Linked DNA regions of Mus musculus. The protein of the gene in region 1 interacts with the protein of each later gene in a pairwise test. Links are inferred from orthologs where the notes say so. Each region holds a gene or a part of one and is shown in the gene's direction. Other genes may lie near its edges. The genes, in order: Psmc6 and Psmd9.

Region 1 (3,072 bases):
AAATCAATATTGAATCTTTATTGTTATCTAGCTGATTTCTGTTATTTTTTTTTTCTAAACAGATTATGAAGCAATTGTAAAGCTTTCAGATGGCTTTAATGGAGCAGACCTGAGAAATGTTTGTACTGAAGCAGGTGAGAATAAAAAGTATATTTTTACCATCAATAACAATGTTCTAAGCTTATCTAAAAGCAGAGCTGCACTTTGGCAGGATTTCTGGTTTTTGGTTTGCATTTGAGACTTGATTTCAAGAAGTAGAACTGAACAACGCAAAGGAGGATGCACCACTGTAGTAGCTGACTTTGATTTTAGGGAAACGTACAGAATGCTGTTGAGGTTGTATGGCGGGACATGCAAGCCTACAACACTGATTTACCAGCTACCCTCTCCCGTTCCCCAATAAAGTTGGCCCTTGGGGATGTGATCTCATGCCCACAGGCATGTTGTGGGAAGCCTGATTGCAGGACTGTTTGGTACACTGTGGCTAGAACTAGAATGGACAAGTCCCATAAGACCAGTATTTGAAAGATTGCTCTAGAAGACTGATGTCCTGGAATTTGTTCAAAATGAAGTTTTAAAATACAATTCTGAATTTCGTGATACTAGTTTTATTTTTGGTAACAAGTGACTTTGAAACACTGCCAGGTTGAAGTCATTTAGTTTTCATTCAGAATATTCAGACCCAAGGCATGTCTCTAGGGTAATTTATCACATTCCAAAATCAGACCACATAATTATCAAGGGCGACTTTCAGGAAAAGCTAAAGTCAAAAGGCAGTACTGTGATTTTAAAGCTGATGCTGTCAAATTTTGATAGGTGCTTTTTTTTTCTCACATTGAAAAACTTTGAAGGAAATCACACATTAATAGGAACCATGTTTTTGTATACATGTATATATTATGTAATACTTAGATCAGATTAAATTCAGGTCCTATGGAGGAGCAGCCATCTCCCCAGTCCCTGATCCGTTGAGTTTAAGTATGGATGCTTAGAGAAGAATGGACCCTTTTCCTGTGGCTACACCACTGAAGAGAGTGTCTCTCTCTCTAACTACAACCTGTAACTGTACATGTCATCAAGAGTGAGCGCCATTTATGTGTGGGTCCAAGGTCTGTGTTGCATACCTGACTTGGAGCTTTTCTTCCTTGGAGATTACCTGTGTTCCCTTCACTATGAAAACACCTAGGATCCTTTTTTCTAACTTTTTGAAATATACAGTGTATAGTGATTATCCTGCCTTTCCCTCCCAAATGCTGGGATTTTAGGCTTATAGTACGCAGTACAGATGGTTGAACAAGTGTCTATAATCTAGGCAATACTCCTGACAGCTATATCCCCAACCTTAAGCCTTGCTTAGTGACAGGTAATCATTATTAAAGTCACTGCAAGTTGGTTGTTTAGTTTTGCATTGCTTGAGATCAAACCTAAGATCTTGCATATGTTAAGCAAACATCCTACCTGTTCCATCCTAGCCCAGATGTTTTGTTCCAGGTGTTTTTATTAAGTACCACCACTTAATACTGCCAGGATTTTTATTAAATGAATATTAATTTCATTAAGTACTACACAGTCCAGATTTTAAATAGTCAGGTAATTGTGGTATCTGCTTATTTCAAAAACAATGCTCACGCTATTTATGAAAATGTATGAAGTAGCATTACTGGCTCAGAAGTAGTAAGTGTATATCTCTTCACATTTCCTCCATAGAGATAAGATCACTTAGTTTTCTTTCCCCTTTTCTTTTGAGATGAGGTCTTGACATGTTAGGCTGGTCTTGAACTTGAGATCTGCTAAGTGCTGAGCTTACTTACAGTCAGGTACCACTGTTCCCAGCTTAGCTGTCTTACTGATTGAACTGCATCGCACACACTATAAGCAGCAATTTGTTTTGTTTTCCACAGGTATGTTTGCAATTCGTGCCGATCATGATTTTGTAGTTCAGGAAGACTTCATGAAAGCAGTCAGGAAAGTGGCTGACTCCAAGAAGCTGGAGTCCAAGCTGGACTACAAACCTGTGTGATTCACTAGAAGGGTTTGGTGGCTGCATGACAGACATTGGTTTAATGTAAAAATAAAGTTAAGGAAAATAATGTATGTATTGGCAATGATCTTATTAAAAGTGAATAAACATGTATAAGCAACATAATAGTATGTAATTCAGTAATTTTTTAAAAATTGGTACAGAAGAAAGTCATGTTTGGTGATGTTGCATTTACTTCAGCAGAATTTACAAAAGACATCCTGAAGCTTTTCATATTTGCTTTGTGAGCATTTTGTACAACATTCAAAATGATTGAGATAGTAGAGGAGAGCATTTCTTATGACTTATTTTATATTTTGTTTTCCTCGTCCTTAAAAAAAAAGCAATAAAATCTGTTTTAAGTTGTCCTATATATACTCTTGTCTTTTCTAAAAGCACATTTATTCTTGTCCTTTTGGATTAGTAAGTATATGATTTGAAAACCTGGATGAAGTTGAAAATTAAAATAGGGCTTTGAATTTTAAACAGTACTCACAGAGTCCACAAGAATGTCTTCTTTTATAGATCATAGAGTGTGGGGTTATGGAGTATATACATGTACTTGTGTCTTCCAAGAAATTCTCTTTACCTATTGCAGTTAGGTATTTGATAATTTTAACTTTTTAAAGATTATGACTGGAAGTAATACTTATAATTTGGTTTATGTGAAAAATAATTCCCTTTTTGTGGTCTGGATCCAGGAAAAGTCTGTTCATGGACATGTAATTTTACATATATGTGATTTCTAGCGATCTATTATTTCTTAGGTTCACCAGTGGATTCTATAAATATCTTCCAGTAAATACCAGGCTGAGAGTGTCTACTCTATGGAATGTTAAATGTTCAAAACAAAAGTTCTGTTACCTGTACACAATTCTAATTTCATGTGGCAATCAAAAGTTGTATAAGGAAATTGTCAATGTCTAAAAATTGAGATTATTTATAGTTAATTCTTGTTTAAATAAAGACATCAAACTTCAGTTTCATAAATACCAAAGGACTAACCATAAATGATCCAGCTAGGTATGTAATTCTTCTTTTCTCTCTCTCTC
Region 2 (3,824 bases), on another chromosome or scaffold:
TTGACCTCGTTACTTAGAGCCTGCCATTCTTTCCCTGTAGGAAACAAGCTCTTGGTCTTGCCACAGAGTTGTAGATTAAGCGGTACAAATGACCAGAAAATGCATCCAACCTCTCGGGTTGGCTTTACATTTTTCTCCTGTCTTTAGGGCCTGCAAGTGGATGACGAAATTGTGGAGTTCGGCTCCGTGAACACCCAAAACTTCCAGTCAGTGCAGAACGTGGGCACTGTGGTGCAGCATAGCGAGGGGGTAAGTCGGGGTGCCCTGGCATCCGGGTGTCCCACAAGCCACAGAGGCCTGCTGCTCGCACAGATCAGGGGATAGTGTGGAAGTCCAGGAGCAGGGGGCCACAGATTCAGGCTCTGGTCCAAGGATGACACAGTTTGCTTAAGGGCTGGATCACTGACTCCATCACCAGGGCTCCATCCCCATAAATTGCACCCCTCTAAAGCCCAGTCTCCTACTCCATCACACCGAGGGGCCAGTCAGCCAGCCTTTCAGTATGAGAGCTTTCCAGAGGGAAGCAGGAGTTCAGCCCATAGCGCTGGGTATCTGTCTGTCTGTCTGGGATTTTCCGGCCCAGAAGCTGTTGGGGGGATCCTCACTGCTGACAGCAGTGGTGGTGCCTCTCTCTCTCCCTGGAGAGCTTTTTCTTCCATTTGCCACATTTGTCTTACACAGCTGAGTCTTTTACACAGTTGATGGCCCTCCTGGTGCTCTTGTCTAAATCCCTCCTCTGTGTCATCCAGTAACAGTAACTAAGCTAGAAGCTGCCTTATTTTGGCACATGCCCTGTTCCCCTGCAGCTGTTATTGGGGTCCAGTTCTCCATCACTGCCTTCTCTAGACCTTGTGATGTTTCCAGCTTCACCCAGGGTGGCCGACCACGTACGTGTGCACGTGGTCACATGCTTTTCTAGGTGGCACCTGTAAAGAAGGGTGGCCGGCTCTGAGAGATCGTGTATACTTGAGGCGTCTTATTCTGTCTCAGGCTGGCCTGGATCTCACTGTGTGGCCTAGGATGATCTTGAGCCTTCTGGTTGTCCTTCCTCCCGTGCACTGGAAGTACAGTGTGCCTGGCCATGCCTGTTTTTATGTAATACGGAGCTATCTCTCTAGCCCGTGGATATAGGTTCTTCTTTTTCTGACACATATATTTCCCAGGAATTTATTCTATAATTAGTTTAGTGTAATTAGACACACATTACCAGGCCACTTTTCCCCCCAAATGGATAGTAGTTGTCCCGGTACCATTTATCATTATGAATACTTTACCCACTAGTTTACACTGTCACCTCTGTTAATATCAGATATATGGGTGGTGTTCTCTTTGTTCTGACCCTTTTTGGAGTTGCTTAGAAGAATCCATTTGTCCCTGTCTGCTTTCCTTTAACACCTTGCTATAGAGTGAGTCCAAGGACCATTTGGAAAGTTGGTAGGCCAAGACCACAGATGCTTGTCTGTCTGGTACAGTGGGCTCTCAACCTTCCTAACGCTGCCACCCTTTAATACAGTTCCTCATGTTGTGGTGGCCCCAACCATAAAATTACTTTTCTTGCTACCTCATGACTGTACTTTGGCTACTGTTAGAAACAGTAATATAAACATCTGTGTTTTCAGATGGTCTCAGGGGAGCCCTGTGAAGTGGGTGTCTCACCCCAAGAAGGTTACAACCCACAGGTTGAGAACCACTGGTCTCGTTGGACAGCTCAGCCATCCCTGCTGGCTCTGCTGGTTCTGGCCCAGAGGCTTCTGTGAGGGCCAGCCAGGACACCTGCAGACACCATGGCCACCCAAAGGGTCCAGCGAGGCTGTACATCCACTTCCACCCCATGGTCGGCCCGAGCCTTCAGTTACTCATCCTGCGGCTTCATACACCACTTGAGTGCACTACCTCAGGCAGCGAGAGCAGTGAGGGGGTCGCATCTCAGAAGATGCACAGTTATGTCTTTCTTACCTCTTAGTGACTTGCTAGGTCCAGCCCACGCCTGGGGAGAAGGGAATTGGACCTCCTGAAGGGAGGCATGTGAGAGGACTTGGGGCCTATCATTAAACTGCCCTCCGAGGGCTCCAGCCTCTCTACTCGCCCTGCCCTCACTTGTCCAGTTTGTGGAAGCTTTCCTTGTGTTAGCGGTCCCTCATCTCTGTCATGTCTTCCCAGTGTTTGTGTCTGTGGCTGTCCAGCCTTGCTAGCCTGCTGTTCTTCATCATCTCAGTGACATCATCTCTGTGACAGTGCGCTGCCACGCCCAGTGTGCGTATTTGCAGATGTGTTTTTAAAGATGTCCTGTTACATTCTGAATTCAGACCCATGGAAAACAGAACCAAAGCACAAAATTGGCACAAAGTCTTCAGGTTCGTTTCCTGGCTTCCTTTTAGCTTTTTTTCAAAAGACTTACTTTGGGGAGTCCCAATGTGCCCGCTGTCTAAAAGCCAAGTGGCCATGGTAATTTGAAAGCCACACCGCTGATCTCAGTCCTGACCCTCAGGGCCCTGCTTGAGAGTCAGGAGTCTGGGTTCTCATCGTCTCTTCTGTGACTTAAACAAAACAAAACCCCAGGTCTGTCTGTGCTGTTAGCATTTCGGAAGTTTCCAATTTTATTACGATTCTGCTTTTGTAGAGCAAACTGTTTTCATCAGCTTTCCTTCCAAAAGTATAGTGTTTGGATCAAACGCGTATATTCTCAAAGCGCAAGCAATCTTGATGGGAAAAAAATTTACTGTCTTGACCCTAAGGGTGTGTGGTTCAGTGGCAGGTCCCTTTTCAGGTGCCCAGTCATGGGTTTGGTCAACAAAAGTGTTGTTGTTGTTGTTGTTGTTGTTGTTGTTTTGCAACAACAATTTCTGTCTGCCCTGGCTGTCCTAGAGCACACTATGTAGACAGACTGGCCTCACAGAGATCCAATTACCTCTGCCTACTGAGTGCTGGGATTAAAGGGGTGCACCACCATGCCCAGCACACTGTTTTTTGGGTTTTGGTTTTTATTTATTTATTGTTTGTTTGTTTGTTTGTTTGTTTGTTATAGCCCTGGCTGTCCTGGAACTCACTTTGTTGACCAGGCTGCCCTTGAACTCAGAAATCTGCCTGCCTCTGTCTCCCGAGTGCCGGGATTAAAGGCGTGTGCCACCACACCCAGCTTTTGGTTTTTTTAAATACATGTGTGTGCACACTCGCATGCACCTTTATAATAAAAACAATGCATATTTAGTTTAGCCACAGGAATGGAGTAAATTCTCCATTACATATTACAACATGAGTATTGAAAACATAATATAAAGTGAAAGAGACCAAACAGGAGGCCATACAATTCCTCAACGAAGTTGTCCTAAAAAGCAGATCTAGAAAGCTAGAAAGGAGATTGGCTGGTGGTTGCTGGGCGGGAGGGTGAGGGTGAGGACCATGTGCTGATGGTCTTTTGGATGATGCAGACAGACCCTCTGCAGTTAGGAGGTGGTGATGGGTCTGAGAGCAGGAGACCCACTGAGCCCTGCTTTACTGTATATAAATTGTGTCTCAGTAAGAAGCCTACTGCATATTTATGTCACATACAAATTCACATTGCAAAAATGTTTAAAGTGAAAATCAAAGCACTGTGTCTGTCTCTCTCTGTAACTCCCTCCCCTGCCCTCCCCTGCCCTCCCCTGCCCTCCCCTGCCCTCCCCTGCCCTCCCCTCCCCTCCCCTGCCCTCCCCTCCCCTGCCCTCCCCTCCCCATGTGTGCTTACTTCTGGACTGAGGGCTGGGGTCCAGCATTGAACAAAAATCAAAGAGAGGGACCTTGCTTTGAGAGCAGACATGAGTTCAGTAGTTCCGGACGACCAATTT

The links.
Region 2: the proteins of Psmc6 (region 1) and Psmd9 interact in binary tests that used the Homo sapiens proteins (3 or more experiments, as listed by UniProt). The two-hybrid records come from large-scale screens. The link is inferred for Mus musculus from reciprocal best matches to the Homo sapiens genes PSMC6 and PSMD9.

What each region holds. Positions count from the first base shown.
Region 1 is NC_000080.6:45,346,682-45,349,753, forward strand, and holds the end of Psmc6 (26S proteasome regulatory subunit 10B), read left to right. Parts: intron 1-62; coding exon 63-134; intron 135-1,901; coding exon 1,902-2,020; 3' UTR 2,021-2,390; downstream 2,391-3,072. UniProt on the Homo sapiens protein: Component of the 26S proteasome, a multiprotein complex involved in the ATP-dependent degradation of ubiquitinated proteins.
Region 2 is NC_000071.6:123,241,685-123,245,508, forward strand, and holds part of Psmd9 (26S proteasome non-ATPase regulatory subunit 9), read left to right. Parts: intron 1-147; coding exon 148-249; intron 250-3,824. UniProt on the Homo sapiens protein: Acts as a chaperone during the assembly of the 26S proteasome, specifically of the base subcomplex of the PA700/19S regulatory complex (RC).